Linked DNA regions of Rattus norvegicus. The main gene of each other region encodes a partner of the protein of the gene in region 3 in a complex. Links are inferred from orthologs where the notes say so. Each region holds a gene or a part of one and is shown on either strand. Other genes may lie near its edges.

What was found.
Region 1: Smarca5 (region 3) and Dek share a complex: the UniProt entries of both Homo sapiens proteins name them as parts of the B-WICH complex. The link is inferred for Rattus norvegicus from reciprocal best matches to the Homo sapiens genes SMARCA5 and DEK.
Region 2: Smarca5 (region 3) and Rsf1 share a complex: the UniProt entries of both Homo sapiens proteins name them as parts of the RSF-5 ISWI chromatin-remodeling complex. The link is inferred for Rattus norvegicus from reciprocal best matches to the Homo sapiens genes SMARCA5 and RSF1.
Region 4: Smarca5 (region 3) and Mybbp1a share a complex: the UniProt entries of both Homo sapiens proteins name them as parts of the B-WICH complex. The link is inferred for Rattus norvegicus from reciprocal best matches to the Homo sapiens genes SMARCA5 and MYBBP1A.
Region 5: Smarca5 (region 3) and Sf3b1 share a complex: the UniProt entries of both Homo sapiens proteins name them as parts of the B-WICH complex. The link is inferred for Rattus norvegicus from reciprocal best matches to the Homo sapiens genes SMARCA5 and SF3B1.

The regions. Positions count from the first base shown.
Region 1 is NC_086035.1:17,784,583-17,791,066, reverse strand, and holds the start of Dek (protein DEK), read right to left. Parts: upstream 3,929-6,484; 5' UTR 3,833-3,928; intron 3,719-3,832; exon of another isoform or gene 3,585-3,718; intron 3,476-3,584; 5' UTR 3,467-3,475; coding exon 3,316-3,466; intron 2,072-3,315; exon of another isoform or gene 1,926-2,071; intron 1-1,925. UniProt on the Homo sapiens protein: Involved in chromatin organization.
Region 2 is NC_086019.1:161,414,031-161,419,830, forward strand, and holds part of Rsf1 (remodeling and spacing factor 1), read left to right. Parts: intron 1-719; coding exon 720-955; intron 956-1,997; coding exon 1,998-2,186; intron 2,187-5,074; coding exon 5,075-5,643; 3' UTR 5,644-5,800. UniProt on the Homo sapiens protein: Regulatory subunit of the ATP-dependent RSF-1 and RSF-5 ISWI chromatin-remodeling complexes, which form ordered nucleosome arrays on chromatin and facilitate access to DNA during DNA-templated processes such as DNA replication, transcription, and repair.
Region 3 is NC_086037.1:44,181,772-44,187,571, reverse strand, and holds part of Smarca5 (SWI/SNF-related matrix-associated actin-dependent regulator of chromatin subfamily A member 5), read right to left. Parts: intron 5,358-5,800; coding exon 5,257-5,357; intron 3,896-5,256; coding exon 3,795-3,895; intron 3,135-3,794; coding exon 2,955-3,134; intron 1,707-2,954; coding exon 1,551-1,706; intron 1,471-1,550; coding exon 1,339-1,470; intron 1-1,338. UniProt on the Homo sapiens protein: ATPase that possesses intrinsic ATP-dependent nucleosome-remodeling activity.
Region 4 is NC_086028.1:57,553,188-57,559,682, forward strand, and holds the start of Mybbp1a (myb-binding protein 1A), read left to right. Parts: upstream 1-2,270; 5' UTR 2,271-2,286; coding exon 2,287-2,478; intron 2,479-2,582; coding exon 2,583-2,678; intron 2,679-3,279; coding exon 3,280-3,363; intron 3,364-3,447; coding exon 3,448-3,522; intron 3,523-3,611; coding exon 3,612-3,719; intron 3,720-4,416; coding exon 4,417-4,592; intron 4,593-4,682; coding exon 4,683-4,850; intron 4,851-4,958; coding exon 4,959-5,076; intron 5,077-5,669; coding exon 5,670-5,965; intron 5,966-6,161; coding exon 6,162-6,272; intron 6,273-6,495. UniProt on the Homo sapiens protein: May activate or repress transcription via interactions with sequence specific DNA-binding proteins. Repression may be mediated at least in part by histone deacetylase activity (HDAC activity).
Region 5 is NC_086027.1:63,990,636-63,996,435, forward strand, and holds part of Sf3b1 (splicing factor 3B subunit 1), read right to left. Parts: coding exon 5,646-5,800; intron 5,565-5,645; coding exon 5,453-5,564; intron 3,003-5,452; coding exon 2,882-3,002; intron 2,212-2,881; coding exon 2,080-2,211; intron 1-2,079. UniProt on the Homo sapiens protein: Component of the 17S U2 SnRNP complex of the spliceosome, a large ribonucleoprotein complex that removes introns from transcribed pre-mRNAs.

The DNA.
Region 1 (6,484 bases), on a different chromosome or scaffold from region 3:
TCTAGTCATGTGTTGGTAAAAATCACCTAGTTTTTCACTTTCTTTCTCACACACAGGAGAATGTATAAGTATAGAAAATGTAAAGAGATAATTTGTATTTCAATCTCATTTTATTTTGTCATGGGTCTCTCAAATCGTCTGAATTTTCATACAAACATGTAGTAAATTATTTAAACCAAGTAGTCATCCTACTGTGCTATAAACTCTAGAGCATGTTTCTCCTCTAACTGTATTTTGGTACCTGTTGTAAGACAGCTGGCTGAACATTACTTTGTTTAATAACAATGCTCATGTGTCTATAAGTCACTCTGAGAAAGTTAAGTACTTGTCAGCCCAGACTTCTAAGAAAACCCCAGGAAATATGTGGTATATAAAGCTTAAAACATTAAGTTATAGTTATTAAAGACCACTTACTTATTGATTGAAATCTAGTCAAATAAAAAACTATTTTGTGCAAGTCCTCTCTTCATTCAAACGAATGTCTATTGTGTTCAAATTGTACCAGATACTCAAAAGAATGAGATTAAACTTTTTTTTGAAATTTCGACTAGGAAAATAAAAAACCGCTTAGTGAAAATATGATAAATATCTTTAAGAAAAATACAATTAAGGGATAAGGGTATAGCTCAATGATAAAATGTCTAGACTGTTCCAAGTCCCTAGATTCAACATTCAATTTTGGAAAGAGAAAAGATAACACATATGAAGTTTGTGAGCCTGGCTAGCCAGACTGCCAAGCATGTAAAGGTGCTCGCTGCCAACTCTGGTGACCCACGTCTAACACCTGGGGAGCTAAGCCCCAGAAGGAATATGGTGGAAAATAAATGACTCCCTGAATTTCTCTTCTGACCTCCACATGCACCACCACTGCTAGTCACACACAATAAATAAAAGATACAAAATGCTTTGTGAGGGGTTGGAGACATGGCTCAGTGGTTAAGAGCACTCACTGCTCTTTCAAAGGACCAGTGTTTAGATAGGGAGCACATGGCAGGCAGCTCAGAACCATCTCTAACTCCACCTTCTGGCATCAGGCACCTTCTGGCCCCTAAGGACACCAGGCCAAGCACTTGGTGTACAAGCATACATGCAAGCAAAACACCCCTATAAAGGAAATAAAAGTAATCTTAAAAACAAAAATTTTTGTGAGCTGAAGGGGGATTATTATTTGGGAAGGAAAAAAGAATCAAAGCATTCATGTAGGCTTTCCAAGATAGGTCAGCTTTGGGGGATATAGAGTTGCAAAGAATAAATGGAGAAAGACAGCAGTGAGTCGAAGAGCTCCTATAGTCACCCAGCTTCCTCTTAGTCCTAAGTTGTTCACTTGCTTTGGATCAGGATATTAGTAAGTTCACAGTGATCTAACCCTGGAACAGAGCTTTCAAACTAAGTAAAGCACACCCCACTGTAACCTTGAAGCCCCACTATGTCCTGCAGGAACCCAAACAATATATCCAAAAGACTCAGGACCACTGCCAAGCTGGCCCACCTGCTTTTCTACAGCACAGCATCATCATCCGAACCCTACAGAGGAAAGCTGAGAGCCACAGTTCTGACTCTCACCTCCCCAGAACCACTTCCAATTCTTGCCATACGTCACAGACTTCAGTAATTTCACTGTCCCCACATCTTTCTGTCATTAAACTGAAGGTAAGCATTCTGGGACAAGCAGAACAGAAACCTGCAATTCCAGTTACCCCAAACACCCCAAAGAGAAAACTAAGTAATTACTAAGTAATTATGAACAAACTCTAAAACCGTGAAGGACTAAACCTACAAAAATCACTTTTAAACGCACAACTGACTTATTCAGCTAGAACAAAATCCAGGGTCTTATGCATCACTCACTGCCAGCCTCCGCAAACATTACTGTTTGGGCCTTCTGTATCCAACTTCGAAATGTCTTTCTGCCCAAGAAAACTCACCGCCTCTATAATCACAACTCTGCCCCTCTAGGAAGTTGAAGTCTTAGCTACACTGAGCTACTGTAGTCAACGTTTAGCCATTACATTATTGTTAGCATTCCTTCTAGGCCCTGCCCAACAGTTACCTAGCAACAACCAGGTAAGCCTGGCTTGCTATAAAAGGGTCTGTTTGGCCTCTTAACTCTCTGCCCCCCTTTTTCCTCTCCCATTCCCCCTTCCCCCTATGTTCCTGGCCTGTGTCTCTCTCTCTACTCCTTTCTTAACTCCCCTTCTCATGCCTCCAAATAAACTACTTTATACTACACGCATGGGGGGGCTGGTACCTCAGGGAGGAGGGATGTCTTAGCATAGACCCACCGAGGTACGTCCCCCCGTTACATCATACATACGTACATATCACTGACTTTATAAAACACCAATTATAAATAACCTAAAAGTAATTGAAACAATTCTTACTAAAATTTATAACTAGAGCCAATGCTGTACTTAAATGACACACCCCCAAAAGGTCTTAGGGCACATACCACTTCAAATAATAAGTACGCCTTGAACTCTTAACCTAGATGATATTTATGAAAAGAAGTGGCAGTTTGGGAAGAGCACTTTAACCTTTAGGCCTGCTCTCAAGTTTGGCTGCGCTGTGGCCATCTGTACCATTAAGTTGAGACTGTGAAGTTGTGCCTGGGGTCTTCTAGCAGCTGAGACTAGTCCAGAAGACTGCTGTAGAGGAACAGCATGCGCTCTGACTGACACAATGCTTGCTACTTGACACAGCTCAGCCTCTATTCAAATGATGCTTCTTACCACCTTCCTTGGGTCAGAATTAGTTCCAAAACCGAGACAGCTGTGGGCTCACATGTTAACTTTCAGTTCAGTTTTCTCGTTTTTTAACTACTTTCTCCAACAACAACAGCTTTCACCCGTGAGCCCTAGGCAAACAAAAGCGCTCCCCCAAGAACCCTTACTGAAAAAGAAAAAAAATCAGCAGATACAAAGAGCCGAGAATATGGACATGAAAAAACATTTCCAGGATTAGTAAGAATACCTGTAGTGTTAAGTTCCATTACTGAACCTTAGTTAGGGTAACTTCAAAAGGCAGATCTGACTTACAAACTTCTGGGTGAACGACGAAGCGTTCTGAAGGCACACTGGGAAAACTCTTGCTACACTTGCACCAAAACCCCGGCAAATACTCAAAAGGAGAGAGAGAGGGGGGGGGGGGAGATATCACAGATTTTTCTACCACTAATTGTTAGCAATCGCGTGAAATCAACCACTCCGACTTAATGCTTCTAAGCATTAAAAAGCAAGATAACTGCTCCCCAAAGGAGGGGAGGGGGTAACTTTTGATGTGAAGAAATCCACCGGGGGGATGCGCATCCCTGCCCACCTTTTTCTTCCTCCTCATCCTCATCGTCGTCGTCCTCCTCCTCTTCCTCCTCACTCTCCTCCCTGGGACCCGGCATCTCAGGTTCCTTCTCGGACGCGGGCGGCGTGGGGGTGTCCTCTCCCTCCGCAGCGGGGGCTGCCGCCGCCGACATGCTGGGAGCCTGCGGGCGGGGAAGAAGCCGCACGCTTCGGTTCGCTCGCCTGCTCGTTCGCTCCCGCGGGCAGGAGCGTAGCGACCGCCCCGTGTTAGCTCTCCTCCAAGTCGCCTACCCTATCTGTCACTCCGCCCGCCTCCCCGGGGATGCCCGAGGCGGGAAACCGCACCGCCCCTCAGCCGCCAGCGCGCGCTCCCGCTCGGCCTGCGCCGCCCGGGGCCGGGCCAGGCCAGTCTGGCCAAGGCGAGCAGAGCCGAGCCCCGTCCCCTCCCCCGCGGCAGGCCTCCGTGCTTATGGCCGCGTCTCCTCCCCGCTGCCCCGCCACGGGGGGCGGCAGCCGCGCCTCCCTGCTGCGGTCCTCACCGCGGGTGCGCACGAGAAGGCCGCCGCTGAGTGGAAGGCGCGCGGGCCGAGGTCCTCGCGAAGCCGCGCGCTCGCTCTCGGTTCCTCAGAATCAACAAGATTTTCAAAATGGCGGTTCGGGAAGCAGAGCGGGAATGCGCCGGCCAATCAGCGCGCTGCGCTGGGAGTTGGCGCGCGCGGGAGGGAGGGCGGGAGGGCGCGGGAGGCGGGCGTCGTCGTCTCCCTCTTGCTGCTCGGGAGGAGTCGGGGGCGGGAGGGGTCTGCGGTCCGCGGCAGGACCGGGTCGCGACGCCCGGCGGGTGGGTGCTCGGGGTGGCGGGCGCGAGCCGGGGCCTCCGCGCTGAACGGTCGGACGCTAGGGGGCCTGCGAGCTTCTAACCTCCCGATCTGGAGAAAATGACCGGCTGTCCTGGGCCCGCGGAGCCGGGGAGCGGCTGGAGGTGGCGAAGTTGAGGGATTCGCAGAAGTCTTTTCCCCGCACGGCTTCACCCTACAGTAATCACCCTACAGACCGGGTTGACCGGGAGCCTCCACGTTCGTCTCCTAGAGCTCGTTCGAGATGAAGGCTCCCAAGTGTGACCTACTTGTGAGGTTTCGCGTCGCCAGTACGCTGCACCGTGACAAGGACCCACCACCACGTTAAGGGCTCACACCACCAGCGACATAAATAGGTTTCAAACCGGTGAATGTAAGACAAATCATTCTTTTCCTTTCCCTCCCCCTTGGTCTCCCCTGTAATGCAGATAGAATATTTGTCCAATCCACACTCTCCTGTCAAGAATTCTAGGCAAACCCAGTGATCCTTTTAGAGTCCACAGTTTAAAAACAATATCTCCTCACGTACTCTCTCTCTTACCCTGAGAACACTAGCTGCCCGAATGATCTTTCCCTACCCTTTCGTTTTGTTTTGTTTTGTTTTTTAATCCAGTCAACTTGGTGGAAATATGGTTGGTTTCATTTGCCATGATAGACTCCCAAGTTGCGGGACAAAAGTTAGACTTTATCCTCTTCTGCGTCCCTTTTAGAAGAAGCAAAGTCCTGCTATTTCTGCTTTCAGATCTTAGGCCATTTCCCAGTCTACTGGTTCTGCCCACCTTTCTTTGCTCATTGTTAAGTTTGGATTGCAGCAAAGCCTCCTCCCACTAGTCACATCCCAGCCAAAGCAATTTCATTTAGTTTGACCTTCTGCTTAAAACCTCAGATGGCTGCATCATAACTTGGAATAACCCTCAAATTTCCGTATGAAAATGTGTAAGATGCTACATAATGCGGCTACTGACTGTCTGATAGCTCCCTGATATGATTGGCCATTCAGTCACACAAGCCTTACCTCGGGTTCCTGCACACGGCTGTCATTCATACTATCTGGTCTTTACACTTCAATGGCCAGGGTTGCTTCTTCTTATTAATCCTCAGTGAACTTGATCCTTTCCATCACTTATTTCTGACCAAGTGTTTTTCCTCCCTCCAGGCCATCACTGTTTTGATACCATTCTCAATTGTTGCTTTATAAGTACTAAGTCCTCTGTCCCTCACCACAGGGCTGCCAGAGGGCCAAGGGAGCTTTTCTTATTAAAGCTCAATGATTAAAGGAAGTTTTGTTAATAAAATGACACTTGAAAAAAAAAAAACCCTTACAATGAGAGACAAGAGTATGGGTGTGCTCTAAAGGGTTATCTAAGTTACTGGATGTGGGAAATAAGGGATAAGAGGATGAGAGTGAAGACTGGTTTTGTTCAGACAGTTGGATTGGGAGAAGGAAGGTTGAAGGAGATGGGAGGAGCTTGTGGGAGGTCTGAACTTACTTTGTTTTAGAGATGTTAGAAGATTGAGATGTGTCATCACCAAAGCGGAAATTAAAATAACCTGTCTTAGTTGGGATTTTACTGCTGTGAACAGACACCATGACCAAAGCAAGTCCTGTAAAGGACAACACTTAATTGAGGCTGGTTTATAGGTTCATAGGTTCAGAGGTTCAGTCCATCATCATCAAGGTGGGAGCAGGTCAGCATCCAGGCAGGCCTGGTGCAGGCAGAGCTGAGAGTTCTACATCTTCATCTGGAGACTGCTAGTGAAAGACTGGCTTCCAGGCAGCTAGGATGAGGGTCTTAAAGCCCACACCCAGGGACACACCTACTCCATGGCCACACCTTCTAACAGTGTCACTCCCTCGGCCAAGCATATACAAACCATAACATAAGCAGTTGGATGTGAGTGTCTAGGGTTCAAAGGAAGAAGCAAGGAGTAACTCACAGTAAAGACTTAGCAGCTGTCAACCTGTGGTTGTCCTATAAAGCCCTCCCCCCACACACGTACACACACTGGATGACGTCACCCACAGGATGAACAAAGGTAGTGCTGAGAGATTAATTCAAGCAACAAAGAGAGACAGTTTCAAGACTGAACCTCTGGATGCTACAGGTCTGTGGGTTTGAGAGAGGAAGGAAAGCCAGCTGCGAAGCTATAAAGCAACAGTAGCCAGTGATGGAGGAGAATCAGAACTGTGTACCAGAAACCAAGTGACTTCTTCCAAAGAGAGAGTGACCAGTTGGGTGAGGTGTGATTGACCATTGGGTAGAACCATATTCTCTGACCAGGAAGAGCTGGCCTCTGTTAGGTAGTAGGTGTGAAGGTGTCTAGGAGTGGGGATCA
Region 2 (5,800 bases), on a different chromosome or scaffold from region 3:
TTTAAAAATATCCAGGGGCTGGGGATTTAGCTCAGTGGTAGAGCGCTTACCTAGGAAGCGCAAGGCCCTGGGTTCGGTCCCCAGCTCCGAAAAAAAAAGAACCAAAAAAAAAAAAAATATCCAAAGATTGAGGCATGAGGTGAAAGGGAAGAACTCGACTTAAGTATAAGACTCTGGCTTAAGGGACCAGCTGGATGAGTGAGTCAGGCTAGAGCTGAGCTGCTAGACAGACTGTTAGCTACCCATGCCTGGCAGCCTTCTCTTCAGAACCATGTAAGGGCGGAAGGATAGAGCCAGCTCTGCACGTAGTCCTCTGAGTGTGCAAGCACGGGCACTCTGCTCTCCCCACAGTAAGTCAGAAAGTTTGTATTAAAAACATCAGACTGGCCAACAGAAGAAGAGTAGTCAGTTGAGAAATAACGAGCCTTTTCAGATCTGTTGGATTTAAGACGTACCCAAAAAGGTCAGTGCAATTCATATGTGAATTACAGCATTTATTTTCACATCTTTTACAATGAAAGGAACAGGTGGTAGAACATTAACTTTATAGATAAAAGTTGACATAATTGTCCAAATATATCTTCAAATTTACTTAATGTTTTACTGGATTCTTTACAAATTGTGTTTGGAACTTTGAAAAACTGGTTATCACTTCTAAGTACCATAACAAGACAGACTCTAAGTGCACCGTCATGATGTGTCTGGCTTCTCCTGGACAGATCTCAGGATGAGTTTGTTGTGTCTGATGAAAATCCAGATGAAAGTGAAGAAGAGCCACCATCCAATGAGGACAGTGACACTGACTTCTGTAGCCGAAGACTGAGGCGGCATCCTTCTCGGCCAATGAGGCAAAGCAGGCGTTTGCGGAGAAAGACCCAAAAGAAGAAGTACTCCGATGACGATGAAGAAGAAGAAGAAGAAGAAGAAGAATCTGAAGAGAATAGTAGAGACTCTGGTAAAAATGCCTTCTGTCTGTATCAGAGCAACTCGGTTACTTCTGTGACTTCTGGAGTCACAAGGTGTTGAAGTCATTCAGCTGTGACATAAGCGTCCTGATGAGACTCTGAAATCCTTTTCTTATGACTTGCTAGTAGTGTATTACATACAGAGCTTTCTGAAAAATTTCACACAAATTAATTAATGTTTCCTTCAAGCCAAACTCTTTTAGAATGATAAATTGTGATAAATCCTTCTGGTGCCACTTATTTCTGAGAATATTTTCAGATGTTAGAAAGTGAATAACCAGTTAACCCAGTACACAGCAGGACTTCTTAGCTTTTCTACTCACAACATTTATTCCAGAGAAGGTTTTACACGACTTCTAGTACATACTCAAACATTGACTGATAATAAAATCCTAAAAATATTTTCTTTTTTTAATGTTATTTTTTTCCATGCATTGGTTTTGTGTCTGTGGGGGTATCAGATCCCCTGCAACTTGAGTTACAGACAATTTTGAGCTCCCACGTGGGTGCTGGGAATTGAACCCAGATCCTCTGGAAGAACAGCCAGTGCTCTTAACTGCTGAGCCATCTCTTCATCTCCAAATAAGTTTGTTTTTAAAGCAGTTCTTTAGGTCTAGACATGGTGGCCCATGCCTCTAATACCAGAAATTGGGCAGTAGGTAGGAAGGGAAGGAGAGAGGGAGGGAAGGAGAGAGAGAGAAAGAGGGAGGGAGGGAGGGAGAGAAGAAGGAAGGAAGGGAGGAAGGAAGGAAGGGAGGAAGGAAGGAAGGGAGGAAGGAAGGAAGGAAGGAAGGAAGGAAGAGAGATCTACCTGTCTCCGCCTCACAAATGCTGGGATGAAAAGTGTGGACAATCATTGCCTGGTTCTGAATATTATTTTAAAAGAAAATCAGATTTATATATCTTAATCAACTAAATTTTTACAACTAAACTCTAGTAACCTTGTATTTTTATAGCATAAGCTAAAGTATACTTCTACCAATGGATTTAAATTTTGTAATTTTTTTTTAATTCCCTTTTTTTTTTAAACAGAAAGTGACTTTAGCGATGATTTTAGTGACGAGTTTGTAGAAACCCGGCGAAGGCGATCAAGAAGGAACCAGAAAAGACAAATTAACTACAAAGAAGATTCGGAAAGTGATGGTTCCCAGAAAAGTCTCCGACGTGGTAAAGAGATCCGGCGAGTTCACAAGCGCAGACTTTCCAGCTCAGAGAGCGAAGGTAAGTGGTATCCTGTGTGGGGAGCAGGGCATAGCAGAAATGGACGCTGCCTAGAAAGAAATGTGCTCAAGCTTTACTTTACTTTAAAATGCATACAGTCGCTGATGTCATTAGGATGAAACAAGTTTCATTCTCCTGTTATTAATTATAATTGAAATAAATGACTCAATAGGATACTAATTTTTAAAGGTTCCATTGTATGAAGTTTTCATACAATGTGATTTACTCTGCTCCTTTTTGTCTTGTTCCAGTTTGAAATAACTTCCTATGTACTGAGTAGTAGCTAAGCTCTTTCAAACCAAATTACCTATTGTCCTTCTGTAGTTTCAGTATTTTATCTGGGATCGCTTTTATGTAATAACTTGAGTTGTGCTATATCAGAAGTGTTTAAAATTGTTCAAAGCATTCATAGCTGGGCAGTGGTGGTGCACGCCTTTAATCCCAGCACTTGTAAGGCAGAGACTAGTGGATCTCTGAGTTCAAGGCCAGCCTAGTCTATAGTGTGAGTTCTAGGACAGCCAGGAATACACACAAAAGAACACTGGTCTCGAATACCTCCCTCCTCAAATTCATTTGTTGTAGAGGTTGCTTGGTGCTTAAGAGAATCTCTTGCTCTCCCAGAGGGCAAAGTCTAGTTCCTAACAACCACAGCAGGCAGCTCAGAACCACACATAACTCCCAACTTCAAGGACTCTGATGCCTTCTGATGTTTACAGGACACTGGCACACACAGACACACATGCGAAGACATAAAAATAAGTAGATCTTTAGAAATGTTCAATAAGAACTTATGACACCCACTTCATTGTTAATTTAGACCCCTAAGTTCATTTTGAAAGATGCTGACTCTTTTTAAGCATTTAATCTTTCATTGTCTATTTATGATGTGCTTTGAATATTGCTTTTACAAATTAAATGTGAAGTAAATGTTTGAAAGTATGAGAACAGGAAAAATGTGGATGTAGGAGACTAGTTCTCTTGTCCTCTGAAGGAGGAGTGGCCCTCATAGGTGGAATGCCTACCTCAGAGTCTGAGATGACTGCCCAGCACAGTCAGGGTTACAGAAGGAAGGTCAGTCAGGGTTGTTAATACTGAGTGTGTCATAAAGATGTCAGCTACAGTGTACTTGGTGACATAAGTAAGCAGTGTTGCAGATCGGGTTTTATTAGAAGATGGTCATGTCTGCATATTTACATATTGTCTATGCCTTCTTTCCTAAAAAATGAGTAGTTGAGATAGAACACGAGGTCTCACCTACATAAATAAATACACTCTCAGATCATCTCAGAGCTGTCTTGCTTATTTTCTACAATAATTAGACTATTCTGTGTTAATGCTGATTAATTCAGTAATACTATCCTCATGTGGCTGTGGAACACTTGAAATTTAGCTGGCTTGAGCATGGAACTAAGTGCTATTTAATTTTAATTAATTTAAATTCATCACACGACTAGTGTCTATTAAGCAAATGGGCCATTGTATGGATTATGAGTTTGCTTTGTGTGATATAGGAAGTGCAGTGGAGTAGTTTGATCTCATGTGGGTTCTAGTTTGCTAGAGTACCTATACTATGAGTAGATTAAAGAGGGGGGAAAAGACAGTAGCTTGGAGAGCAGGAGTCCCAGTCTGAGATGATGGGTGTGCAGCTAGGTTCATACTTGTAAGAGGGAAAATCGTTATGGATGTTTGTATTTTAAAATTTAACTTTTGTGTGTGTGTGTGTGTGTGTGTGTGCACGTGCGCACACACGCAGTACATGGGTACTTTGTATCTATGAATGCCAATAGAGGGCAACAGATCCCCTGGAACTGGAATTACAAGTGCTCATTGTTCCTTTGCAAATGGGTATCAGGAGTAGCTTGTGCTCTTAACTGCCAAGCCATTGCTCCAGCTTTCCAAGGATCATTTTGTTTTAGACCAAAAGCATTTACTCTTTGTTGAATGAGAAATCAAGGTGAACTAAGCTTTAAGAACCAAACTGCTGCAAGGCCTTTAGGAGCTTTTTTGTTCACATTAGATTTAAGACGACTCTTTAAATACCCAAACATACATGCTAAAGGCTAATCTAGGGCTGGAGAGATGGCTCCATAGTTAAGTGCACTGACTGCTCTTCCAGAGGTCCTGAGTTCAATTCCCAGCAACCACATGGTGGCTCACACCCATCTGATGCCCTCTTCTGGTGTGTCTGAAGACAGCTACAGTGTACTTGTATATAATAAATACATTTTTTAAAAAAAAAGCTAATCTAGAATTTAGTTTGCCTAAACCAGGAGCCTCATCAGTTTGTAAATGTGTGTGTAGCCCAAAGACTTGGTGAGATGACTCACAAACCAAATACAGATCACAGGAGGACATTCACAGTTCACAGTTTACCAGAGGATGTTGCATCCCCTAAGAGTGCACAGAGTGATTTTGCCTAGTGATTTCTTTTTGGTTTTTGGTGTTTTGAGAAGGATTTAATATAACCCAAGGTATCCTTGAACTTTTGATCTTCTTATACTTCCCAAGAATGGGGATTATAGGTATGTGCCACCTTCCTTCAGTTTAATCTTTCCTTATTAATTTGTGTGACTCCTCAATTTTAGGACTAAGGGAAGGAGTTTCCCAGATGGTGGCCAATGATCTTCCCTTAATTCAAGAACCATCACATGCCCCTCTTCTTTGACTCCCCCAAGAAATCTACTCTCCCCTAAAATCAGAAGTAAAATACACAATGGATATCACTAAACATTGTTACAGATGGATGTGGGAGTTCGATTCTATCATATCAGTCAATTTAACAGAGCAGTAGTTTCATAAGAGCTGAGGATGGGGTTGGTATGGGAAAGAAAGTACTTGAATGTGTTTATGTTAACTGTGCCAACAGCTTAAATGTTTATTTATTCTAGAGAGCTACATGTCCAAGAACTCTGAAGATGATGAACTAACAAAAGAATCTAAGCGATCCATTCGGAAACGGGGCCGAAGCACAGGTGAATATTCAGAAGCAGATGAGGAGGAGGAGGAGGAAGGCAAACCATCCCGCAAGCGGCTACACCGGATAGAGACAGACGAGGAGAGCTGTGACAGTGCTCATGGGGATGCAGACCAGCCTGCCCGTGAGAGCCAGGCCAGTGTCCTACCCTCAGAGCAAGAGAGCAGCAAGAAGCCGTATCGGATAGAGAGTGATGAAGAAGAGGACTTTGAAAACGTGGGCAAAGTAGGGAGCCCGTTGGACTACAGCCTAGTAGACTTGCCTTCCACCAATGGACAGAGCCCTGGCAAGGCCATTGAGAACTTGATGGGCAAAGCAACTGAAAAGTCCCAGACCCCCAAGGACAATGGCACAGCCAGTGCAAATCTAGCCCCTAATGGGACAAGTGGTGGACAGGAGGTGGGGGCACCAGAAGAGGATGAAGATGAGCTTTTGCGAGTGACTGACCTTGTTGATTATGTCTGTAACAGTGAACAGTTATAAGACTCCTTTCCATTTCTGTGCTAATTTATTCCACGGTAGCTCTCACACCAGCGGGCCAGTTAGTAAAGCTGTTTAATTTTTCCTAGAAAACTCCACTACAGAACGACTTTTTAGAAGAAAAATTTCAACAAATCTTGAAGTCTTTCTGGGAAGTGAC
Region 3 (5,800 bases):
TAACTGAAGGTTTTAACAGATATCATTAAATAAATGTTAGCCCAGCAAGAAAAACAAATAATCTTGAAACTATCTGTAAAACATCAAAGTATTTAAAAGAATTAATAAAACTTTCAAACTGAATGTGCTTTTTCCACACACATTTTTGTTCTTTGTAAAATAACTCTTGGCTGGCCTTTCATCCCAGCACACGGAAGGCAGAGGCAGGCAGATCTCTGAGTTTGAGGCCAACCCTGTCTGCAGAATGAGCAGGATAGCCAAGGCTACACACAGAAACTCTGTCTCAAAAAAATAGATAAAGAAAAAGAAAAGAACCCTTAATGTAACAAACCAAATTAATACCTTTAGAGAATTTGTTTACATAAATGTACTAACATGGATCTCTACAAAGGTCTCCCACCCACTCTAGATGTAGGAACAGACATTCAAATCTGAACTCCAGTTTGGCAACTATAATTGTAGTTGTAGACTATGAATACATAAACTATTTTCTGTCACACAGCAAACAGGTAACTATGTCACCATTTCTACTATGTAAATAATTGTTAGAGGTAAAGACTGGGTTATTACACAATAATAAAAGATGGGTGTGATATTCACTGTTCATTGTCAACGTCATATCCTAGTATTCTATTAGCCCAGAGCTGGGCCCCCCAAAACAGCAGTAGGTGATTATGTTGACTGCAGTATGTGCTGTAAGACCCGTCTTAAGTTGTGTGACTGTTCCCTGGGTTGGGAATCATGGATTGTTCAGAATAAAGAAGGGAACTGAGCAGTGGGATACACTTATCGCACTGTCTGCTTTCTGACTGTGAGTAAAGTAGGATCAGCTATTGCCAGCACCTGACCCTAGTACCCTTGACTTAGTCCCCAGATCAGCTATTGCCAGCACCTGACCCTAGTACCCTTCTTCCTTAAGCTGCTTTGGTCAAAGTATTTTGCCACAGTAACACAAAAAGAAAATAAAACAAAAAGTTAAACAAATCCCTCCACACTTGAAGGCCATCTCTGAATGTTAAAACACAATGTATAAAATATACAAAGATACTTGAAAACGCTTAAAAACAAGACTTTAACCTAGAGACCCTAAGGTTAAAATTAAATAGTCTTGATTGCCAAAAAGAAGAATTTGCTAACTCAGATGAAGAAACTGATTGGAAATGACTTTAAAGCCAAGGCTAAGCCAAGACTCAAAAGTGAATGAATTTTCAGAATACTATGCTGGTTTAGTAATAGGCTAGCTACATATGTATGAAAAAGTTAATAGCCATATCAAACAGCACTATTATTAAAATATAGGCATTAACCAAAATATTATTAACCACAAAAAGAGCTTACATCAGCTGAATTAAACACATCTGGTAACAAAAAGTTTAGCAGGGACCAGAGCTCGTGCAGGTTGTTCTGAAGAGGCGTCCCTGTCAGCAACAGTCGGTTTGTAGTCTTGAATTCTCTCACTATTTCTGACAACTGAAAGAACCAGAGCCCATTATTAGAACATTTTGAATCACTCAGACACAAAAAAATGTTCATATTAAGTATCAAATTACCTTAGATTTTTCATTTTTTATCCTGTGAGCTTCATCTATAACTAAGTATCTCCAGTTAAATTTTTTGAACACAGACTTCTCTTTAATAAGCATTTCATAAGATGTGACACATACATCCCACTCTCCTGGTAATAGAACATCCCTGACAAATGCAGCCTATAAAGAAAAAAAAAATTACACCACTCAAGTCAATTATACATTAAATTCACTTAAGTAATCAAAACCAAGGAAGGAAGGAGTCTAATAAACAGCAGGCATTAAATGAACATCAAAGCCACCATCTCACCACCATCTCACCACTGAAACTACTTCCTTATCACCACAGAGTCAGTTTAACTTAGTTTCAAAAGGTTGAAGGGAATCACAAAATTCCATGGCCTAACTTTAAACTATCTTTCTACAGTTCACCAGGTCTTGCCATCCTTAGGAAGCAGGGTTTGTAAGATAAAGGAAGACTGACAGTTGGCAATAGATGGTCTCATTCTTTTGATTTGTAGATATATTAACACATTACTGTTATTGTTCTTATTTTATAGATAAGGATATGAAGTTAAAACGCAGAAGTAGCTGACTTCTTCAAACAAAAAAGCAACTTGGTAACTTAAAATAACCCACATAATCTACCTACTGAGGGGCAAAGAACTCTAGACAGTTCCTGGAGGATGACTCGGGGGTTAAGAACACTTGTTCTTAGAGAAGACTAAGGTTCAGTTTTCAGCACCCACACAGTGGCTCAAAACCATCCCTAACTCTAGTTCCAGAGGTGTTGACTCCCTTTTCTGGCTTCAGTGGAAACCAACATGCATGCAAAGTACCCATAAATATAAAATAATATTTAAAAAAACTAACCTCAACTAATTAAGTGTAAAATCATTTAATATAATCATTTAATCAATGAACACACTTGATTATATCCAACTTCCAAATCTAAGTTCTTTATTCTTAATAGTGTTGTTATTGCCATGACTTTGCCCTAAAAAGATGTGGCCCGGAAGTCAATAATTTAACTCATATTTGTATATAACAGCTCACCAAATTACTAAATTGACTCAACTCATATTTAACAATTACTATTCTATGACTATTACCACTGTACCCTAATCTAGAAATCTGGCCCCTCAAATTTCTAATGGTTTAACATATTCAAAAAAAACAAGTTAATATTTCCAAATAAATTATCTAGGACTTTATACAATGACTTCCAAGGGGAGAAACAAACTGAAAATAAAATTAAGAAATTCATTTAGCTTTTTAGTCTTTAAAGCGTTCTCAGTAAGATTCTTGAATAACCACAAGTAGTGTATAGTCATAAATTACTAACAATCCTTTTTAATCCCTTCTCCAGTTATTTCATCTTAAGTCTAAATTTAAATTCCATTAAATATTAATAGTATAAATACTTACTCTTTGCTCTTTATCTCCTATCAAGCAAACAGACCTAAGTGTTGGCACCCATCTCTTGAATTCACTCATCCAGTTGTGCAATGTAGACTTGGGAACCAAAACCATATGAGGACCAGGAATATTTCTATAGTGTTTCATGTACCCAAGAAGAGAAATTGTTTGCAGAGTCTTTCCCAAACCCTAAAAAATTCATAATTCAACATTAAAGAATTTAATTGCACTAGTCAAATTAAAAATTAAACAATTAAAAACACCCTTCCACACTTATAGACCCATCATATTTAGGAACATTTAGAACTATGACGAGATTGACTACTGTGTAAGTGTACAGTTACGTCACATAAGTCTATAAGGAAGGTATCAACATCACCTCAAGACTCAGAAAACGCGACATCCCCAAGTAACCAATCAGAGGCAGGAGCGAGATATATCTGACTGCATACTTACCCCAACCAATTGTTTAAGCACTACTTTTGGAAGGATTAAAGTCTTCACTAAATAACTAGTAAGTCATGAACAGAAGATACGGTGTTCTGTGAAACTAAACCCTGTGAGCTGACTTTTAATAAATGGAAAGAAACAGTCAAATACTGCAAAAACAAGAAAGTTATCAAAATGCATTATTTTAAAATTTACTCTAGTGCAGAGATGGTTAACTCTTCACACGTGAAGACGTCACTTACGCAACTAAAACAGTGGATTATAGTGCTTTAAGGAAAAAATAGTTATAATCAAGCCAAACTATCCATCTCTCTTCTGCTACAGATTTAGTCAAACTATCTTAAGTTACAACAACAAGAACACAAACATCTTCAAGCTTTGAGATTAGCAAATACATACCATCTCATCTGCAAGGATACCATTGATGCCATTCTCATACAGAGAGATGAGCCAATTCAATCCTCGGACCTGATAATCTCTCAGTTTACCCCATTTTACATCTAAAAAGTAACAACACACAATGCTCATTTTAAGGACAAGAAATATAAGATAGGGCTGTCTTTTATCTGATATTCAGAGGTTTAACTGGAACCTATAGGTGTCTACTTCTCCTTTCTAGAGGATACATATATTATGGGGTTTCTGCAAGGTGAAAGTCATTAAAAATAGGTAATGAAATCTGGACTGAAGAAGGGGTAATTGATACAAGTAACTGATAGTGAAGCTATCAGATGAGGAACTCTAACTACTAGCATCAGAGTAACTCATCGAAATCACTCAATCCAATGTTAAACCACATTGGTCTTCAGAGTATCTCTGGCCTCTTTCCCTCTCTTTTTTGTTAGCACACTTTTAACCGAGTGGTTTCATCTTCATAAAGATCAGATAGTAGTTCTCTGAAGATTTTCCTTTCTCCCCATTGAGAGTGGAAATAAAGACAAGAAATTCTTTCCAAGTCCACCCTTTCTATTCCTTAAGTCCGTTCTCTGATAGATGGCACATAAGGACCCATGTCCTTCAGTACACAGACATTACTTGTACTTCCCGGGATAAATCGCTGCCTAAGAATGAAAAGCTCATCAGGACTGGGCACACGAGTTACAACTGGAGACAGAAATAACCTGAATTTCCTTTCCAGCTTGTTATACATGTAGCTCTGGCCTCTAGCTTGATTTGAAAAGAAAAGGCCGGGGGAAAGGAAAGTGTGTGTTAAAAGTGGTCCAGTGGGTGAGTAAACTGTTCAATAGTCTAGCTAAGCAGGACTCCAACTAAAACCATTAGTTGTCCACAGTAATTACTCATCAAATAACAGGAGTTGCAGTAAAACTAGGCTTCCGTGAAGATTATAGAAGCTTCTAATAACCCTATCACAAATCAAGATTATTTATAAGTAAAACTAAGCTGTTTTCATATAGAAAAGCACTAATACATTTCACAAAAATATCCATCATCAATAAAAGCAATTATTTTTCATGATTTTTCCCCTTTTATAACATTTCCTAATTTGGGAAAAGTGTATGGCAAAAGTCATTCCATTTTACATGGATTTTAGAACCCTAATAAGCTGAATGGCATCTTCATATACTTCTGAAATGTACCATACTATTGTCTCTCAACTCTAGGGATCAAAGTCAGAGCTATCCACATGCTATCAGCACTCTATAGCTATATAACTCCAACCAATATATTAACATCTCAGATTAAAAAAATACACTTAATATTTATTCAAAGCCAGTAACTATCCACGATTACTAAAAATTTCTATATAAATTATAGGAAAAGTAAATTCAAACAATAACTAAGGGATTTTCAAAGGAGGCTCCTTTGGAAAAAATCAAATGATTCAAAGAATTTAACTTACATGATGGAGAATCTTCAAATCGAGTACAAACATTGGTTGCTTTGGAACTTTCTGTTAATAGCTCTTCATCCTCCTCTTGCTCTGTTCTACGATGTCGGTAGCTGTCAAAATGAAAACAAAAATCAATTTATAATGAGTTTTATTTGAACACAGTAGCCAAATGATGATATCACAATAATCTTAACAGGCATCTAAGTTAAGCCAAGGATACAGAGTATCTCAGAGGTAGAGCATAAGTCCTGAATTAGATCCCATGCATCAATAAAATTAAATTAAAAAAAAAACAAAAAACAAAAAACTAAGAAGCAGAGTAAGTCTAAAAAAGTGAAGAGTAGAAATTACTAGTAAATATAAACCTGATATGTTTATGTGATTAACTAAATTATGAATAAAATAAATGAAAAGGCAGGCAGATCTCTGAGCTTGGTCCAACCTGGTCTACAATACGAGTCCCAGGATAGCCAGAGCTACACAGAGAAACCCTGCCTTGAAATCAAGAAGAAAAACAAATTGTTATGACTAAAAACTAAGAAGTAAGCACTTA
Region 4 (6,495 bases), on a different chromosome or scaffold from region 3:
CCTGGTTCTAGCTCTGGCATCCAGGGCTGGTCCAACCACGTTTCCTGGTACCCTCGCTGATGGAATTTCTGGCTTTTTTTTTTTTAAATCAAATAAAGACTTAGAGGGTGATGAAAAAGAGCTTGAGTGCAACTCACCTTCAGGAAAGTCCGGAGGAGTCATCACTCCCTACCTGGTCTTTGGGCAGGGTGGTCCGCTCCATCTTCCACTGGGCCATTCCCTGCTGATCTTTATCAATTGGACTGGAAGTTAATAAAACTCAAATATCCCGGGACAACGTGCCTTCCGTGCTCTTTGGTTAACTTTCCTGTTACCCTTTGCAGCACAGATGATGAACACCAAACACAGGGGGAGGAGCCTGGCCTGGTCTCTTTCAGCTTCCCCTGCTCCAGCCACCTTCTGCTTTCTGGGGTTCCACCTGTGCAAGGTAAATCTCTTAGTTTCACGTGTAGAGCAGACGGCAGGGCAGAGGAGGGACAATGAGTAGGAGATGTCTCTGGGTACAGAAGGGCTGGAACTGGGCTGGCCCTGACCTTATCTGAGATCTCTTGAGTACAACCCTTTAGAAATAGTTCCTCGGGCCAAGGGCAAGAACATCCAGTAGCAATTCTCCTACCGGACAAAGAAAAAGGTAATTCTGATTTAAGGTTTTGAGGGTTTGATTTTTTTCAATTAAAAAAAGCTTTCATCTTGTGTGTGTTGACTACATATATGTACATATACCGCATGCATCTTCTGTCTGAGGTCAGAAGAGGGCTTTGGATCCCCTATAACTGGGGTTACAGATGTGAGTTGCTGTATGGGTGCTGGGAACTGAACCTGGATCCTCTGGAATAGTAGTAAGAGCTTTAACCCAATGCGCCATATCCCTGATCTCTGTAATTTTGTCTTTTTTTTTAATTTTTTAAGATTTTTTTTATTTATTATTATATATGAGTACACTGTGGCTGTCTTCAGACACACCAGAAAAGGGCATCGGATATCTTTACAGGTGGTTGTGAGCCACCATGTGGTTGCTGGGAATTGAACTTAGGACCTCTGGAAGAGCAGTTGTCGCTCTTAACCGCTGAGCCATCTCTCCAGCCCTGTAATTTTGTCTTTTAAGGCAGAGTCTCCCTATGTAATCCATTCTGGCCCAGGCACTGGGTTAGAGGACCACCAACATACTCAGTGAATTGTTTTGTTTTGTTGAGCTGGGGGTCAAATGTAGAGCATTGACATGTTTGCCTGGTATTCTACTTCCATACCATATCCCCAAGTTCAAGCTAGCAGAACTCTTGAGTGGATCATCTTCACTTCTCTGTCAAACAAAACATCCCTAGGTGCAATTATTCCACCGCCTATTCAACTATTTTAGCTTTTATCTTGGTGTCCTTTCTAGCCAATCATCTCCTTTGACTCAAGTCATCACTCACCTTGACCATCTCTAGATTAGCCAAGGTCTCACTTCAGCCCAATTCACTGTCTCTGCACAGGCCGTGCCTGCTCTCAGCCAACAGTTGATCTTTTAAAAATATAAATCAGATGTAAATCCTTCCCTGCACACTCAGAAGAAATTATGAACTCTTGAGCCTGGCCCGGGATCCTATACAGCCTTGCTTCCCAGAACCTTCGTCCTCTTCCTCTTACTGACCTCATTCCCATAAGAGATGAACAGCCTTTGTAGAAAAAATGTCCTTGGCCTGTTCTTTTTGCCCTGGGGGACAATTGAGCCCATCTTGTCCCTCAGCTGTCAGCCCACATGTCAGTCTTGTCATGGTCTCTTATTAAATAGTATCTTAGGATCTATTGAATTTTCTCTTTAATTTCTAACAGGTGATGTTTTCGCGTATTTAAACAGTTAAAGGGCTCCCTCTGCTACATACATTCCTTATTTTCCTCAGAACTGTCATTTTAAATGTATTTGGCTACTTGTTCATCAGCCATCTTTTCCAACTAGAAAGGAAGAGAAGCCACGGCTTTATTCCGCTGAACACAGTAGAAGCAGAACAGCAGTCGCACCGGTGTCTCTGAAAGGATCGCGAGCAGACCCGGGTCTGGGAAGAGATCTTATTACGGCGGTCTACAGAAACTCCGCCAGCGTAAAGGATGAGACCAAAGCTGCAGTTTCTACACACGTGTGCGAGCACAGGTCTCTGCTCCACCCACAGACACACCGAAAAGGCGAGACCGTCTGGGATCCACGCCTAACCTGCTAGGCCCCGCCCCCACTCGGACTCCCAGTGCGCAGGCGCCGAGGCCTGACCTGGAAGAGACTGTCTTTCGAGCCCACGTGTTTGGTTCAGCATGGCGGAGATGAAGAGCCCTACGAAAGCTGAGCCTGCGTCTCCCGCAGAAGCGCCGCAAGGCGACCGCCGCAGCCTGTTGGAGCACAGTCGCGAGTTCTTGGACTTCTTCTGGGACATCGCGAAGCCGGATCAGGAAACGCGGCTCCGGGCCACGGAGAAGTTGTTGGAGTACTTGCGCACAAGGCCGAGTGTATGATGGAGGGTCCCGGGCTCAGTGGCGGGTCTGGATGCAAGGGGCAAGGGGTGGGCCTCTCAGATCACTGTTGAACACGAGGGATGTTCTTTTTTCTGTAGGATTCGGAGATGAAATATGCCCTGAAGCGCCTAATCACTGGGCTTGGGGTGGGCCGAGAAGCTGCTAGGCCCTGCTACAGTCTGGCGCTAGCACAGGTGAGGCGGTGCGTCTGGCAAGAGCACAGTCTCGCTGGGCAAAGAGTGGAGTTTAAGGGTAAGGGGGACCGCAGCTGCTGGGTAAGGAGATATCCGAGAGGCTTCTGAGGGGATGCAGGCATCCTTACATGGGTGGAAGGAAGCGCCCAAACACGGCCTATCTACAACAAAGTCCAGACAGGTGGGAGAGTTAAACACGTTTTCTTTCTGATACACGTTTGTCAGGCGTACTAGCTATAGTTACTGGGAGTAGTGAGTTTTGAGGTTGACTTCTGCAAGGTTGGGTTGCAGTTGATGGCAGACCACATAGAAATTCGTACACCAAAAAGCAATGAAGGCTAACGAGTAGAGTCAGTCTTAAGGCAACTCAGAACAGGATCTGTGGATGGGATGGGGTTTTCCAAGATGTACAGAAGCAGTCTAGGCCTTCTGAAGCCTTAGCAATGTAAGATTTGGTCCCTTGAAAGCGGTAAACTCTTCTTAGCCCTTGTGAGGGACGGGAAGAGTGACCAAGATTATATTGGGGAAAGTGGAAGAAGTTGACTTGGTCTGGTTTGATGTCCCTGGGCCACTCCTGAGCTCTTTTTGGTCTTGCTGGCAGCTGTTGCAGTCTTTTGAAGACATCCAGTTGTGTGACATCCTGGGACAGATACAAGAAAAATACAATCTACAAGCAATGAACAAGGTCCGTGTGGCTCCCAGACAGACAGCCTGCCCCCGAACAGGTATGGGAGGGACCCTGTTCACCTGTGTTTGGATCTTTTTCTAGGCAATGATGAGACCTACTCTCTTTGCAAACCTGTTTGGAGTGCTTGCCCTCTTTCAGTCAGGACGCCTAGTGAAGGTAGGAGCTTTGGGCATAGGGACGGGTTTGGGGGTGGGGAGCAGACCATAGCATTCCCTGCACTTCACCCTCTGCTCTCTGGATACCAGGATAAAGAAGCCCTGATGAAGTGCGTGAGATTGCTGAAGATATTGTCCCATCACTACAACCACTTACAGGGGCAGCCAGTAAAGGCTCTGGTGGACATCCTCTCCGAGGTAGAGAATCCCAGCTCATGCTGTCTCATTGGGGAACCATTGAGAAGATGAGGGTTAGTTACAGCAACACTAGAACAGATGATTTGACCACCATGCAACTGGAGCTTTTTTTCCTTCCTGTCCCCAGTATCTTACATCTGGCCTGTCTTTCAGGGTCACAGCACATCTCCATTCAGTTAGGCACTTTAGATCCTCCATAACTCTCTCTGGTAGCTTTTGTGGGGATAGTGTGGGTTTAGAACCATGCTTGTCAGTGCCTGAATATGTAGAAGGCACCCTGAGTACATTTGCCATAGTTTGGTCAAGCCTGGGTCTGCACTATCTATCCTAGTTGGGAGACCAAGGCAGACTCGTGTCTAGAGTCATTTGCCACTAGCTCATCCCCAATTTGTCCTTTTGGCACAAATGGAGACAGACCATAATTCAAGTGCAGCTCTCCACATAGGGCTGTGTCTATGAAACAGGCTAGTTCTCTTAAAAAAAATAAAAAGAGGAACAATTTTAAATGTAGCCTTTGGGCCAGTTAGCCATCAGTAGGATGCTGGGGTTGGGGAGGCAGTGCTCTCTTATGGGTCTGATGCTTGGCAAGTTGCCTGACTGACTGGTGGTGTATCAGAAGCCCCTGGGTAGAACAAGACCCAGAAGGAGAAACAAGAGCTAGGAGAAGCCACCCTTTCTACCTGTGTTCCCACTCCAGGTCCCAGAGTCCATGTTCCAGGAGATCCTGCCAAAGGTCCTCAAGGGGGACATGAAAGTGATCCTCAGCTCTCCCAAGTACTTGGAGCTCTTCCTCTTGGCTCGGCAGAGGGTGCCAGCAGAGCTCGAGTCACTGGTTGGCTCGGTTGATCTGTTCTCAGAAGACAACATTCCCAGGTTTGAGGAGATTATGAGCGGGCTCTCGCTGGGGGTATCCTGCACTCTAGTCTTCTGGGTGATGTTTACTGAATCCCCTCTGCCTTCCAGTCTGGTGAATATACTGAAGGTGGCGGCCAACTCTGTAAAGAAGGAGCAGAAGCTGCCTGATGTGGCTCTGAACCTGCTCCGCCTGGCACTTCAGGAGAACAAATTTGAACGGTTCTGGAAGGAGGTTTTGGAGGAGGGGCTGCTGAAGAAGCCATCCTATACATCCAGGTGTGTTTGACACTGGTCTCCCCTCTCCTCCAGCCTGGGTAGGACCTGTTCTAAAACCTGGCTAAAAGAACAGGGCCTCTGACACGACTCTATCCCAATCCTCCATAGCTACATGTGTTTCCGCCTACTGGGTGCATCTCTGCCGCTTCTGTCAGATGAGCAGTTGCAGTTGGTGATGCGAGGAGACTTGATCCGACATTTTGGGGAGCACATGGTCGTTTCTAAGGTAGGTGTCTTCCCGTGTGGTTCAGTGCTGCCCACAGGGCCAGGGCAGTGGTGCTTCCTCTGAAGTTCTAATATGGCAGGACTTGACAAGAGGTTAGCCAGTGATCAGGCCCTTTTGTCCTGAGGCCCACTCACCAGCAGGCCCAGCCAGCCATCTATTTGTAACATTGCTGGGGTGGTCACATTAGGGGGAGTGGTTATTGACGCCAGTGTGTTCTGCATTTTGTGCCTGGCACCTGTCAGTCATAGTGGGGGCCCTATACAGAGGGTTGTCAGGAAGCAAGTGGGTTTTGAGCCACAGGTCAGTACTGGTCTATCAGGACCTGAGCCTAAGTTTCCTTTGTGCCAGTCAAACTAGGAAAACATCTTGTCCTCAATCTTTGAGGGAGAATGGGAATCTTCTTGTGCTGGGGATGAACTAAGGGGTCAAGGATAGGCTTTGATGGAGTTGTGGCAAAGTTGGGCTCAGCCCTCAGTCCTGCTGTGTAATTGGAGTGGGGAAGCCCTGGATTTAATCACTAGAGAGAAAGATGGGAAAGTGGTGGCTCCTGCCTCTTCACTCTAGTAACCCAAACTCATGCTCGTCTCTTGCAGTCCCAAAACCCGCTAAGGTTCATTCCAGAGATAAGTGCATATGTGGGTACCTTCCTCGAGGGGTGCCAGGACGATCCCAAGCGGCAATTCACTGTGATGGTGGCCTTCACGGCCATCACCAATCAAGGTCTCCCTGTCATGCCTACCTTCTGGCGTGTCACGCGGTTCTTGAATACTGAAGCCCTGCAGAACTACGTGACCTGGCTGCGGGACATGTTCCTGCAGCCTGACCTGGACTCCTTGGTTGACTTCAGCACTGCCAACCAGAAGAGAGTTCAGGTCGCCTCCTTGAATGTGTAAGTAGCAGGTGTCAGGAGCTTTGAGGGGCCCAAAGCCTTAAGTGGCATGGCTTCAAACTCGGGGCAGGAGAGGAGGAAGGTTAGCTTTTTGGGGTAGCTTTGGTGTCTCCCGACTGGAGGTTGGGGCAGAGTGTAGATGGTCCCAGGGCAAAGGAGCACCCTGTTTCTGTTGTCATGTGGCTTCTGCTTCTAGGCCTGAGCGAACAGTATTCCGGCTCCGGAAGTGGATCATCCACCGCCTGGTCAGCCTTGTGGATCATCTGCACCTGGAGAAGGATGAAGCTGTGGTCGAGCAAATAGCCAGGTGCGTGAGGGACAAGGTGTGAGGGACACTCATGGCTGGCATGACTGAAACTAGGCCCCTTGCCTCATCCTTGTTTGGGTTCCCCTGGAGCCAGAGGCCTTCAGGTTAAGGTAGGGAATAGGCACAGGGGACCTTTGGGGTACGTTATCCTGTGAAGGAAAGTGACCAAGAAAGTGTACAGCAGTGGGACCCCAAAGGTTCAGACTTGACCTATGGATTCTGT
Region 5 (5,800 bases), on a different chromosome or scaffold from region 3:
CTAGACCCCCTGGGAGCTCCCAGAGACTCAGCAAGTTGGTGCAAGGCCCCGCCTGGCAGTATATAGCAGAGACTGCCTCATCTGGCCACAGTGGGAAACTTGAGGCCCCAGGGAAGGACAATGTCTATTTAGGGGGGCAGGGTTAGAGCACCCTCTCAGAGGCAAGGGGGAGGAGGAATGGGATGAGGAAATACGGGGACTGGAATGTAAATAAGGAAAAAACCCCAGGAAAATGGGAAAAAAAGCTTCATACAAATTGTCAGATTTATCTTAATATTAATTCAGGTAAACAGTTTTTTAACTCTTTAATTTTTTTGAAATAAAGAAATTTAAATATCTAAATGGTCTCCAGAGCCAGGCAGCCTTATAGATAGAATATCCAAAACTCTGGACTCCTAGCTCAAACACATACAATCTGTTCCTCAATCTACCCATTACCCCACGCCCATGGTTACCTTAAGCACAATCACCCTACCTGGTTCTGGCTGCCTCCTACCAGCTTTTACATACCCCTGTACTAACACTTAGAGACATTAGGGCTACTGTATCTTATTTGCAACTTGTTTTACAATCAGACCACCACAGACACAAACAGTTCTATTCCCAAGAAATGAAGGGATGTGTATCTATCCTGAAGGAATGTTACCTAACTTAACAGACTTTGGTATGTTTTAGGAAATTACTTCCCAGTTGTGAGAAATGTGAGAAAGAAAGGGTTTATTTCAGCTTCTTTAAAAAAAGATTTATTCATTATTTTAGTTTAAATAAGTAAGTGCTCTATCTGCTTATACACCTGTGTGCCAGACGGAATCAGATCCCATTATAGATGGTTGTGAGCCACCATGTGGTTGTGGGAATTGAACTCAGAACCTGTTAAGAGCAGAGCAATCTCTCCAGCCACTATCTTAGCTTCTATGTTCAGGTCACAGTATATATACTGCTGAGGGAAGTCAGGGCAGAGAGCCAAAGAGAAACTGAAACACAAATCACGCAGGCATGGTGCTTACTGGCTTACTTGTAGGCTCATGCTCAACTTGCTTTCTTATCTATAACTATCCACATGAATCAACTTTTCACAACCATGGTCACAGGCCATGTGATCTGTGCAATTCCTTGTCTAAGGTGACTCTGGGCTGTGTCCAGTTTACAGCTGAAGCTAATCAGAACACTGGAAAAATACACATGGGTAGTCTCTTTTTCTACAATTATAACTGCTTCTCTCAGGTAAGTTCTGATGAAGCAAATAACCATAAATGAATTCATAAAGCAAATGAATCTATGAATTAGTCTTGGAACAATGCAGTTTTAAAAAAACAGAAAATGAATATAAGATATGAATTATATAGAAATATTATATGTTGAACTAGGTTCAATTCCCAGCACCCACATGGTAGATGGCACTTGGTGCAATTCCAATTCCAGGGCTTCTGACAACCCTCACATACACAAATGAAGATAAAAACCATTAAAGAAAAAAAAAATTTTAAAAGGGGGGCTGGATGCATGGATCAGTGCTCTTCCAGAGAGCCTGGGATGATTTTCAGCACCCACACGGCAATTCTCAACCATCTAATTCCAAATTCCAATCTGACAACGAGTCTGTGGAAACTAGAAGACTGCAGAATACTCACTCCTTACTATTTTAAGCAATATTCCAGCCAGGTTTGATAGTACATGCTCTTGATATGTTTTTAATCTCAGCACTAGGGAGGCAGAAACAGGCTAAGAGCTAAGAGGCCAGCCTCGTCTGTCTATTACATACCAAGTTCCATGGACAGCCAAGATTACATGGATAAACCCCATCTCAAAAAAAAAAAGCAATATCCTAAAGAAGACCAACAAAAACTTGAATGTGCCTCTGAAAATATCTATTCTTCTCTAGGGTAAATTTTAAAGCCTTCAGAGTTCAATCAAAAATTTAAGAAAATATTTTTAAATAGGAAAAGGCAGGTCAGTGTTTAAATAAAATGCTTTTTCTTCAAATGACTAACTATACTCTGCCTCAAAAGATGTCTACATGGAAGTACTTTCGAACACCAATCAATAGGTTTACTATAACCTACTAAAAACACAACTCACCCAATAGCCTTTGCGATATAACCAAATGTATTGACTGTAGCTCTTCGAATAGCTTTTTTGTGAGCTTTTAAAAGCTCTAAAAGTTCAAAGCAAATCCTCATCCACTCTCTTGCAGATACATACTCAGCTCCCCTAAATTAAAAGAAATAAAAAATGCAATTAATGAATTAACATGGTTGTTATCAAGGTATTTTGATGTTTGTTTTTGCAGTGTTGGGGATGAAGCCCAGGGCCCATGAATGCCAAATCGTTCTACTACCAATCTGCACCTCCTACCCTAATCAAAGTTTACAAAGTAAATATGCATATTCAACTCTGAAATCATCACTAACTCATCTTAAATATTAAGTGAAAACTACTATCACCCTTTTAAATAGGTTGACTTGTTAAGTGGTGCCATACAGCTTTAATCTCAGCAGCACTTAGAAAGCATATCGAAGTTCAAACCTGGTCTATATAGTGCGTTCCAAGCCAGCCAAGGATACGGTCAGACCTTGTCTCAAAAGAAGAGAAAAGAAAGCAAGCCTGACTTTGTTTTACAACTATACTGCGCCTTTAATCCCAACATTCGGGAGGGAGGCAGAGGCTGGTAGCTCTGTTTACAGACAGACTGGTCTATAGAGTGAGATCCAGGACAGCCAAAGATACACAGAGAAACCCTGTTTGGGGAGTCAGGGTAAGGGAGGAAGACACCCACACTGCTATTTCCTATTACCACTTAAAGTGAAATCTTGCTAAATCTAAATACTGTCTATACTTGAGAGCTAAATATGTACTTGGTGTTGCTATGTAATCTTCTTACCTGTCAGCAATACGCCCAACAAGATCAATACAATTCTCTTGTACTTTTTCATGTCTGTTCTTTAAGATGGGGGTGAGTCTAGGCAACAGATCTTTAATTGGTGGTGTCATCTTATGCATACCTATTTGACAGAAATCAAGGAACTATTAAAACCTGAATTGCAGTCTTTCATTTTTCCTTTTACAGTACAATGCAAAAATATGAACTCATAAGCTACCGGTGGATAAAAAAGCTCCAGATTCTAATTGGACTTAGAATTCTTAAAAATATTAACAGCTTCTAGTTACATTTAGAAATCAAAGAAATCGGGTTGGGGATTTAGCTCAGTGGTAGAGCGCTTGCCTAGGAAGCGCAAGGCCCTGGGTTCGGTCCCCAGCTCCGAAAAAAAAAAAAAAAAACCCCAAAAAAAAAAAAAAAAAAAAAAGAAGAAATCAGTAAAGTGATTTTAAAAATGAGGGTTACTCAGTAATAGAAAGATTTTATGAAATGTTATTTGTAAACTTACTTTTAAATATGGGAACAGCCTATGTTGTGGCCAAATATAGCAACAGAAGCCAAAGTTAGATCAGATCAAATCAGTAAGGGTCCCTATACCCTGTAACTGCAAAATTAAACAGACCTCCAGTCTCCCTGAAATGCAGGGCACACCTAGGTGTTATTTATTAGATCTATGAAGAGAGAAAGAGGCAGCTAGTAGGCACTCTTGATCTAACTAGAATTATTTGCTCTGATTCTCCACTGCTTTGCTAGACAAACAATATAGTCTATAATTCTGGCAAATCAGAGAACCACGAGTGAGTAAGACTGTTTGGCAAGTCATTGTCTGTATAAATCTGGGCTATATTGGGGGTTCTATATAAATACAACAGTTCAAAGCTCTATACTGCATAATAGTCCTTATTCCTTTCCCCAAAAGGGGGAAAATGGTGATTATCAGCAGTCAGTTATAATGAACTCTTAGCCTTTTCCACCCCTTTCAGTCCTAAACATAGTTTCAACACTATGTGTAAACACAATTAAACACAGAAATCCTTTTGTTTCCTTCATCATAATTCCTTGAAAACAAAAGTTGTCTCTCCATACCGGAGACTGTCCTGTGTAGATTGATGCCATTAGGCAGGTGAGGGCTGGCACGAGTCAGATCAAGGCCATGATTGGACAGTAAAAGAATAAGATGGGGACAAAGTTTTTATAGGGAGGGAGAGAAGGAGGTAGAGGGAGAATCAAAATGGAGACTGGGAAGGATGACCCAGATCCTGGTAGTCCTCAATTGCCAAGGTAGCTGGGGTAGATTTCTATAGGCAAATTTATCTTATGTAGGTGGGCTGTTCACATCCTCATCAACTGGTTGTAAGTTAATTGTGTGGATGTATTGTACATTGAGTATTTAACATATAAATCTGGTTTTTGGGTTACAGTTTGTTGAGTCTTGATGTTGCCAGGTATCTGGGACCAGAGTTCTGAGCTGGCCAGGGTGACTAGCAATGGGAGTGGAGAGACCGCTGGGGCCAGAAGATAGCTAGGTTAACATGGCGTGCTGCCGCACTGAAGCCAGCCGCCGCTGAGATAAATTAAGGTTAGTTATATGGCCCTACAGTGCAAGAACTAACACCAGGGAGTGACCTCCTGGGTTTGAGAGCACCAGGGGCCCAGCATGGAGCAATGACGCTCAGGAACCGGTTGTGCCCCTTTTCTAATAATACTGCACAACGCAACAGTCCTTTGTGTTTTTAATTACAGATAAAAGACAAGACAGATAACTCTTTTTAACCAAGTATGGTTTAAAAGTATGAGTTCTTTGAACTCATAGTAAACAAAAAAAAAAAAACAAAAACAAAAACAAAAAAAACAAAAAAACTCAACAACCAGTCAAAAGACCTAAACATAGGAGAGTAGATAAAGAAAATTTCTAGGGGTTGGGGATTTAGCTCAGTAGTAGAGCGCTTGCCTAGGAAGTGCAAGGCCCTGGGTTCGTCCCCAGCTCCGAAAAAAAGGACCAAAAAAAAAAAAAAAAAAAAATTTCTAAAACTGCACCCTCAGGACTGCGCCTTCCCTTATAGAAAATCCTAGATTATTTTTTAGCTGATGTACTAGTTCTATTAGGGCCTTCTCTCCCATTAACTCAAAACATTTTGGGCTATAACTATTTCTGTACTTTAAATTTCTGTACTAAATTTCGCCTTTAACATTTCTTTTTTTTTTTTTAAAGATTTATTTATTTTATGTACAGCATTCTGCCTGCATATGTGACTACAGGCCAGAAGAGAGCACCTGATCTCATTACAAATGGTTGTGAGCCACCATGTGGTTGCTGGGAATTGAACTCATGACCTCTGGAAGAGCAGTCAGTGCTCTTAACCACTGAGCCATCTCTCCAGCCCTCCTTTAACATTTCTAGGTAAACTATAAATAGACAATAATGAGTGAGATTTTTGTGACATTCTGACAATCCTAAAGTGCTCAAGAAAAGAAGATTAAAAAACAAACTCCTAAATACAACTTTATATTTTGTTTTCAAAACACAAAGAAAATTAAAAGGCCAAACCCTCACATGGCTAGCAAATTCCATACCTATTACATTTACAATAGCCTTCAGTGCTCCAAGAATGCTGCCCAATACTTCAGGGTACTCTTCACCCAGATACTCATACAGCACCACACCCAAGTGCCCCATCAGTTTTTCCTAAATAAAAGAAACATTAAAGATGTTACTTTTCCATTAAGCCACTTGTTCAAAAAAGATTCATCTAGTAGAAAAGATTACCTCTTGACAAGTCTTCATGACAACAGCAGTTCGAGAAATCAAGTCAGCTGCTTGTTGCCTAACTTTTGCTGATTTATTATTCAAACGCCATAAAACTGTACCACAGATCTGAGGCAAGTATGGTTTGACTCGTTTGCCAAGAGCATTGACTACTG